2 linked regions of the Oryzias latipes genome follow. Each later gene encodes a partner of the first gene's protein in a complex. Links are inferred from orthologs where the notes say so. Each region holds a gene or a part of one and is shown on either strand. Other genes may lie near its edges.

The links. The genes of interacting proteins can lie anywhere in the genome.
Region 2: vps8 (region 1) and tgfbrap1 share a complex: the UniProt entries of both Homo sapiens proteins name them as parts of the putative class C core vacuole/endosome tethering (CORVET) complex. The link is inferred for Oryzias latipes from reciprocal best matches to the Homo sapiens genes VPS8 and TGFBRAP1.

What each region holds. Positions count from the first base shown.
Region 1 is NC_019877.2:24,391,293-24,395,072, forward strand, and holds part of vps8 (vacuolar protein sorting-associated protein 8 homolog), read right to left. Parts: intron 1,466-3,780; exon of another isoform or gene 1,399-1,465; coding exon 1,251-1,398; intron 414-1,250; coding exon 360-413; intron 90-359; coding exon 9-89; intron 1-8. UniProt on the Homo sapiens protein: Plays a role in vesicle-mediated protein trafficking of the endocytic membrane transport pathway.
Region 2 is NC_019861.2:16,418,095-16,423,533, forward strand, and holds the start of tgfbrap1 (transforming growth factor-beta receptor-associated protein 1), read right to left. Parts: upstream 3,446-5,439; 5' UTR 3,234-3,445; intron 2,031-3,233; 5' UTR 2,012-2,030; coding exon 1,315-2,011; intron 1,226-1,314; coding exon 1,031-1,225; intron 1-1,030. Other genes in the region: cullin-4A, read left to right, coding at 4,538-4,679, 5,249-5,364. UniProt on the Homo sapiens protein: Plays a role in the TGF-beta/activin signaling pathway. It associates with inactive heteromeric TGF-beta and activin receptor complexes, mainly through the type II receptor, and is released upon activation of signaling.

The DNA of each region.
Region 1 (3,780 bases):
TGGCGTACCCGGGCCGGTCCTCTGAACAGGCAGCGGGTCAGATCCCAGGACTGCTCCTGCTGTAGGTCCAACGTGGCTGCAGCCAGAACCTGAGCACAACAACAACGTGATGACAACAGCAGCAGCAGAGTAACGCTGCATTTCCTGTGTGATCTGAACAAAAGCTTCCCGTTTATCTGATTACTTTGGGCCTTTTCTCCACCTAAAAAAGAACATTTAGTTTCCAGCAAACTCTAGTCCCAAACTCCATGATCAGAATCCTGAAAAGGATGTAGAGTCACCTGATCTCTCCCACATTTTTGTGATTTTTCTTTTATTGCTGAAAAACTATCAAATTATAATTGGTGGATGAAACCTACCCTCTTCTTGTGAGCTGCTGCTGCTGCGTCATGATGGCCGGATGCAACATGAGTCTGGAGCACAGAGGGAAGACGTGTGACCAACAGCTGCTAAACATCTTTTTTCAGTTTCATCATCTGTGAGGATAAAGGTGGTACATGAGTGGGTCTGTGAGAGACCCCCCCCCCCCCCCCCCCCCCCCCCAGCTCACTTACCTGTAAATCCACCTGGTTTGATCTGTGGAGATCTAAACTGTGAGAAATGTTCTGTTGAAATCCACTTTGGTGGGTAACATGGAAGCAGGGCGTGTACTGAAGAGGGAGGGGCTAAACGGCGGTATAGGTTGAGGGCTGCATTACTCAGAGGGTTACTCACATCCATGCCATCTTCAAATGCTTCTTTTACTAAGTCAAAATGGCTTTTATCCCTTGTGCCTTCTTGAGGGGTCCAGATGACCCCACTCCCAACGCTAACATGCCTTGGAGGCATGTTAGCGTTGGGAGTGGGGTCATCTGGACCCCACAAGATGGCACAAGGGCTAAACTGCTTATTAACAGTCCTGACTAATTTAATTAAAAAACAGTTGTTTACGTCCTCCTTCCTGGTCTCCACCCTGATCCAGGTGGTTCACATCAGCAACCAGAATTGTCTAACAACTTCTTAAAGGTTTGGAGTGGAATTGCTTGGTGCATCTGATATTAACAAAGTCTCTCAAACCTGAGAGAAAATGGTTACAATGTTTGAAATGCTGGTTGCACGACTGTTATTCGTGGGGGAAATAAATGAGTGGTTTGGTTTCACACATTTCCTGCCCGTTAGTCGCCTTTTTTAAGCTAAAACGTGACAGAATAACAAAGCCAGTGTGTGTGCGCGCCATGCGTTTGTGGGCGGGATCATAAAAAAGCACCAACCTGAGCCAGGGAGGTGCTGCGGCTGCGGCTGGGCCTCCCTGCAGGGCCCCTCTTCAGCATGTGGCTGGAGGAACACTTGCAGCACCTCCACTGCTCTGAAGCCAAGTCCTTCTGCTGCAGGCATGAGCGGTGATACAGATGTCCACAGCTGCAAAGACACAGGTCTGTGAGGGCTGGGGAGCGAGGGGGGGTCTGAGCGCAGGAGACATTTAGCACTGAAACACAGAAAGACCTTTTTCCTTAGGTGCCTCTAGAGCTTCATGCACAGAAACACTGTTTGCTGACATGTTCTATTGTTGGAAAGTCCTTTGAAATGGAGTCAGGCTTTAAATATCATCCAATGGTTTAACTGCTGTTGTTAGTCGGTTTGGATCCATCAGGAAATTCAATCTAACTCCACAGATGACCTCAGGTTGACCTCAGGACGACTCGCTCCTCTCTGACATCATTCTGGAGCCAGAGTTTAGTTCCAGCCTGTGGACGTCTGGGATTGGGTGCAGACTCATCTAAATACCTCTCTGCAGTGCGATTGGCTGCAGGAATGACAGAGAGGGGATGTTCCCGCCTCCATCAAAACACTCACTCTATCAGTGCAGCCATCAGCGTTGGCCTCCTCCATGTTTTCTCCCAACGTTGACCCAAAAGTCCTTCAATCGTTCCTCAGTGGATTACAGATTACAGAGGAATCTTTTAGCAGTTACTGTGAAAAGCCAGTAAGCATGCTCACTAAATTGGTGAATATAGCCCATAATGCCTTGGATTAGAGCAGGGGTCGGGAACCTATGGCTCGCGAGCCATATATGGCTCTTTTGATGATCACATGTGGCTCGCAGACAAATCTTTAATTATACTTTTTTTTTTTTTCATTAGTCCAGTCCTTCTCGGGCGCGATGCGATGCCAGAGGCGCGCAGTAGTAGCGGTGCTTAGAGAGAGAAATCTGCGCCAGCGCTATAAGTTACTATTATCTATAATTTCACAGAGTTTGTACCAACTGGAAACCTGTGAATTGCCGTGCCTAAAACTGCGCGCTCCCGTCTCTGAGAAAGAGCGCGCAGTTGCGGAGACGGGATGTGTGAGGAAGAAAGCAGAGGGTGGGGGTGAGGGGTTGTGGGGACAGGCAGCAGGTGAATCGTGCAGGGATTGTAATAACATAAAACCCGCTGCCCGTCACTCACTGCAGCGTGTGAGTGTGTGTTTGGTTCCCCGTCTGCATGTGATCAGTCTGTCTCACATCTACAGAACATTCAAACCTAAGATCACGTTTAAAGTCTCAACGCCTGCATGAAGCAGAAACTCACCACGTATCAACCAGACTAGACCATCAGCAAAACTACCACGAGAAATACTCATCATTTATTAGCAACAGCATAACAATGTTATTAAAAAGAATCCACAGACTTATTGTACTTTAAAAATGTTGAAATTAAATCAAATGCACACATTCACTTGTATATTTAGTTTTAAACAAATTGTCGCGGACTGAGTTGGATGGCTGTCGGGCCGCGTTAAAAGTTCTGGAGTTCATTGAACGCGTCAAGCAGAGATCTGATTGGCCCTCAGTTCTGTCGCTCAGCCTGTTGTTAGGTAGTTTGGACCAATGGGGTTCAGCTATGGGCCGAATAAGGGAAATGGGAGGGCTGGAGCGGGAGCAGGTGAATATAAAGTTGGGAGAAGCGCTCTCGTGTCGGCGGGAGAGATTCAGGAGTTGCTGAATTAATTGAACGGCGTTTGTTGCGGTCTGCAGTAATCGGAATAAAGAACTTTAAAAGAGGTTAAGTCTCCGTGCCTCAGTGTGGGGAAAGGACACTACATTATTGTATGGCTCTTTCGAAATTACATTTCAAAATATGTGGCATTTGTGGCTCTCTTGGCCAAAAAGGTTCCTGACCCCTGCCTTAGAGGAATTTTTCAAGTGGAATAAAAAGTATTTCTTTTATTTTTTCATCTCCAGTGGATTCATCAATGGTCTTCGTAAAATGCGTGAATGTATTAGGTTGTCGTTTAAAATGTAACACAAATCAATGTCCATGCTGTCCGGATGGCTTTTAAAAATCCAGGAGTTGTTTTTAGTCGTTAGGGAGGAAATGTAGACAGAGCCAGTGATCCAACATGGAGTCCAGCTGAAATCTGGACTGAATGCAGAATAAAACACTAGTTTCTGCACACATTTAGCATAAACTAGAACTTTGCTAATGTTGAAGGGCAGCTGTAGCTGAATATTGGCGTCATGCCGTCTGCTCTGGATGGTCTGGCAGAGCCGGGGGCCTTCTCCTTCTGCAAACCTTCAATCTAAATGTGTAGAAGATAAACTACAGCAGTCAAGAGCAGAAAAGGTGAAGAAGCTGTGTCCTTAAATTGGATTGGTGTCCCTCCATCCTCTGATAAATGGATTTATCCTTCAGTGTAGAGGTGGTAGTGGGCCTCAGTCCACATCAGTCAAGCATGGCATGCAGAGTGATGAAGTAGACACAAACTGAGCACTCAACAATGCCCATGCTCACACAACGCCACACATCCCTGCAGGTTCCC
Region 2 (5,439 bases), on another chromosome or scaffold:
TTATTGATTCGTATTTTCAGGTTTCCCTGAAAAAAACTTTTAACCAAAATTCCAGTTGTTCTGATAATATTTTCAACTAAATGCTGATTTCATACAGAGCTTTCAGAGCCACATTTGAGCCTTAAAATTATTTAAGACAGCAAAATTTCTGGTTTCTCTTAGAAATAAACTATTAGAATAACCCAAATGAGTAACACTGAAGTCACAACGTCAGGAATTTCATTTGCTGAAGAGGATCGTTCTGCTGCAGCGTAGTGATTAGACATGTCTGCTTTATTTTCAAAACAATCACCAGTCAGTCGGAGACATGTAGCGTGCAATGGGTCTGCTACCACAGAAGGTCGACTCTTGTTATATACGACTCACAAACTCAGCACGGAAATAAGCTGCTCCGAATTATTAAAGAAAAAAACTTGACTAATGTCCTCCCTCCTGCCATTAACACCTAACACTGATCCTGCTAAAACTTATACAAAAAGAAAAAAAAACATCTTTTACTAAAATCTTTATTCTCATTGAAAGGCAGAAAGATTCACAAAAGAGTACAGTAATTCCTGATTCTTCTTCAGAAAGGTTAACGGTTTTTTGAAGAAAATGGCTAAACGGCCTCAATATTTTGTCAAAATGTAATGAGATTTTTATGAAAATAAAACTAAAGTATTCACTTCCAAGTCTGGATTTCAACCATGCCTGCAAGTTGCTGCCATCATTTCATTTTCTGTGGGTTTTTGTACTTTTCACAAAACAGTGCCTTAGCACAGACGTGGATGTGTGTGTGGTGGTATTATGGCGTCTTTCATGGAGTCAGGTGCACTCTCCTTCTAGGAACAGCATATATGTCTCAAGGACAAGAAGTGCACACTGCGGAAACACTGCTGCGCTTTAGTGAACAGACACCAACAATTGAAAGTAAGGTTTCAAACCTTCTAACTTCTGAGAACTACTCTGACATCGCCTTGGTCGTCATGGTTTCTTTCAATAAATTAAACTGATGAGAAATGCGAAAGAGAAAGCCCGTAAGAAAGCGCACCTTCAAAGTCTTGCAGTATGTGTCCGTCCCTGAACGACAGAGTCTGCTTTAGCTGTTGGTCCAGCATGCTGTGGATGGTGATGAAATTCTCATCCAGAGCCACCACGTAGGGAAAACTCACAGCCGCAGCAATCACGCTCTCTGACCAGCTGACCGGAGCCCGCTGAGATACCCCCTCTGCATTGGCAAACATTCCTGGAAGTCACAAAGCGGAGACGCGATTTGACGTTAAGCTGCGTGTCAATCAAGCATCTTCTCCTAAAAATGCTCGTGTAGCAACTTACCGAGACCCCCGGGTGCAGCCAGGAGGAACTCCTCCCTGCTGATCCTCTTCACGATGGGCCTCCTCTCCTCACTGTTGTAGGGGAACAGGTCCTGAGAGGCTCCTGTGTTGTAGTTCAGAATCATGTATTGTGTGGTGAGGGCCAGACATAAGAAGTAACCATCCAGACTGAGGGCGCAGGGCTGCTCCGGAGTGGACACCTCCTTGACCAGCTGCACCCTGTCCTTGTGCACCATGTAAATCTGCACGGTTCGCCTCTTTGAGGAGAGTATGGCCATTTCCACGCAGAACGGATCCCCGTTCACCGGGTTCTCGTTTACGCAGAAGGCAATCACTCCTCTGATCTTCACTCCGCCTCCTGCCGCTGAGGGCACGCTCTCCAGAGTCACCATGTCTACAAGAAATACCATCCCATCACAAAGCACGATCAGGCGCTCCAAAGCAGAAGCAGCCCGCAGCTCAGCCACCGGTTTCTTCAGGCCCAAGTATTTGTTCAGAAGCTTCTGAGCTGAGTAGCTCAGCTTCCCCATGGGCGAGGCGACCTCGTCGAGGAGAAAGTGGTGAATGAAGCAGTCGTTGGTGCCGACGTACAGGTGCTTGCCACAACATTCAATACACTCGATGTTGATGCGGGCTTTGTCGCCCATGAGGAGGTCTCGCTCCACAGCCGGGACGAGCTCGAAGGCCTTCACACTCATCTCAGCCACGGCATCGACACTACAATTAAAATAACCAATCAACATCACATACATCCAACAAAAATTACATCCCAGTATTATGTCATAAATGCCCAGACACTGAATATTTTAAAGCAAAATAGAAGGAGAGGCTACTGTCAACATATGAGCTATAAGGAAAGGGACCGTGAAACAAGTAAAGGAATAATTTTGATATTCAGGTAATATGTAATGATATTCAAGTAGCGGTAGTCTAAATATTTGAACAGATAACAAATGATGCAATAATTATGCATCTGTATTATATGTATTAATATGTAATTGTATGGCATTGTATACATAACAATTTTGTAATATTGTGCGATATCTTGAATAATTGTACACAAGCTTAGAATAAATCACACAAATCCAAATCAAATGGAAGATAATTAAACTATAAATGAGACAAACTGAACAAAAGTATTTGAAATTATTATGCAATATTATTATTAGCTTTCCCGTTTTATTTTTGTGCTGCTTTGAAACAAAAATGGATCCGTTTTTGTCCTTGTAGCTGCTTGATTCACAGGTCTACAAATCATCAACTAGCTTCATTTGTCATATGATAGCACGTGTTTTCATTTTATGACCAGCACTGTTTTTGTTTTTTTGTTTTTAACTGAAGTTTTATTATTTTTAACTGACGTGTATTTGTACGATCCCGACGGTCAAGCAGTACAACTTTAACCTGTCTTCTGTTGTCACTTCCCTTTTTTAAAGCTGAATCCTCGTTTCAAATGTAGGGATTTCCTGTCAGACTGTAACTTGGCTAACTGACTGACATTACACGATAATGTTTGTTTACTTTCATGACCTCCTCTTTTATTGAGGACTGGCATTAGCAAAATGTCATAGCACCAAAAACAAATTGCATCTAAAAGTTATGTTTTGGGTCGAGATTTTTCTGCTAATCAAAAGACAGAATTTTCCACGTTGGGTTTCCCTGGACTACTTTAAAAAGCTCCCATTAGCTTAACAGGCAAAGCTAATGTTAGCTAGCTAATTACAGCTAACTATGAATTAATACCAGTCTAAAACACAAAAAGCTGTTCGTGCATCTAAACGAGATGCCGTAAGGGTGTCCCCGCAAAGAAAGACAGAGGATTTCCAATCGGGCTCCACTCTCCAGAGGCGCTACCGACCAACTCCCTGCCCGGTTTGCCACAGACTAGTTGTCGGCGTTAGCAGCAGCCACCGTACTTACCGCTGCTGACGACGGAGCACGACCCACGAGCGACGCTTACTGAATCGGAGACTGTCACCGTGCCATGTTTTTATGGTTAAACGTGGTTACAGTCATGGTGCTCGATTTAACTGCATCCACAGAAAGAATATGTTTGCTTAGTGTTACGTCTTCCTTATCCACGGGGAAACACCGCCCATTTGCACTAGAACCCCCCCTCTCTGGTTGCAGGTGATTTAGAGCTGCGTTCAAGATCACACACAAGCGCGACAGTGATTTAGCAAGAAAAAAACGTTTTATTTTCTGCTTCAAATTTTTGTATATTTTAGTTTTAGTTGAATAGCATCTTGAAATTTAGAATCAAGAAAATACTTTTTAAATCAACCATTTTAGATCAAACTAAACACGCGCAGAAAAAAAACAAACCGTTTTGCTTGTACTGTAGGCGTAGCTTTGAGAAATTGACCTCCTCTGTAATTTAATTTCGATTAACAATAGATTAACAATAAATAAACATTATAATAATGTTGAATGTTTATAAACTGGTTGATTAAATACGCATTCAAGTTTTAAAAAATTGATTTAAGTCATTTAAATTCATTTTTCAGGACGTTAAGATTTTTAAGTTTTGTTTTTTCCTCCGCCTTGCACTTACTTGCAGGGAAGGATCTCAGTGAGGGGGGGGGGAACGTACTGGCAGGGAAGTAATTTGGCATGTTTGAATATGTCTGTAATGATAAAAAACGTAATAATAATAATAATAACAAGACAGAAGTTGTGCTCTTGAACGCAGCTTGGCTGCTTTTCACCCAAGATGCACCTGCCCAGCTCAACTGTTCGAGAAAAGCCATTTTGTTGTGCTAGCTAGCTAAATGGTAAATAGAGCAGCACACACATTATTCTGTTAAATGCACGGTAATTATGCCGCGATTAGATTTTGTTTTACTTTTGTCAAACTTAGTAAACGATTTTGTTAAAATATGGACGTAGTTATCACTGACGTAGACTAGCGTTTAAAGCTAAAGTGTTGTGATTTGGACGAAAACTGGTCGCTCAAGTGGAGTTTTGGTAACACACCGTTAGCTAACTGTGTGTTTACCTCCTAGCTGGCTATAGTTATGTTTTCTGATTAACTTACTCTTTGTACGTCGCTCTAAGTATGTACTTTAGTTTAAAATAGAATACTGCCTTCTGTGCATATAACCAAAAAGAGTTTGCTCAACAAAAAAGTCAGTATTGTTGTTAGTGGGTTAACAGGCCAATCCAGCACTAATTTAGCAAAACACTTGAACCATACTACGTTAAGCCAAAGTGCTAATCAGATAATGGCAGAGGACACACGACAGAACAAGAGGGCCAGCTTCTCCGCTTTAACGGAGCTCAGCACCAACGGGATGGCCAGGACAGCCGCTCTAGCATCGGGCAAAACGGGAGCTTCAAAGAAGTTGGTGATAAAAAATTTTAAAGGTAATGTCATGCATCAGGTTTGTTTTCCTTCAGTGGAATAACCAATGGGCACAAGCCAAGGAACATGACTGGCCAACATTCAGTATAGGATCATGATACTGTAAAGGTTACATGTCTAGTGAAGATGTTGAGTCACACAAGCTGTGACCTGATCACTTTTTTGCGTGTTTGTGAGGAACACGCGTGTCAATTTGAACATATTGGATATACATTTATTCAGTCTTAAGCTACAATTTAGTGAAGAAAGATGAAACTGTAGTCTTCACATTCGGATTAGATTTTTCTTTCCTATAAATTAAAAATTGGAATATGTTTGTATAGAATTATCAGGCTGTTTAAATAATACGCCTCATTAAATAACATGCATAAGTAATAAGAATGTTAGACATACATGGACTTTTTGTTTTAAACTATTGTCACCCATATGAGGAACAAAGTACAATAACATGCAATTTTCAGAAAGCTTCAGCTTTATTTTATGTATGTGAGACACTGAGTGTGTACATGTTTTTGTAGAAATGAATGTATTCAATTTTTGAGACTTAAATATTGAAATGTTTTTGTTTCAGACCGGCCCAAACTAGCAGAGAACTACACCGAGGATACATGGCTGAAGCTTCGAGACGCTGTGAGTGCTATCCAAAACAGCACTTCAATTAAGTACAATCTGGAAGAGCTCTATCAGGTACGTATTTTTCAGCACCAAGCTCCACTTACATTTAGCTTGTGTTCACATCACTCAGCTTTACGAAATCTTTGC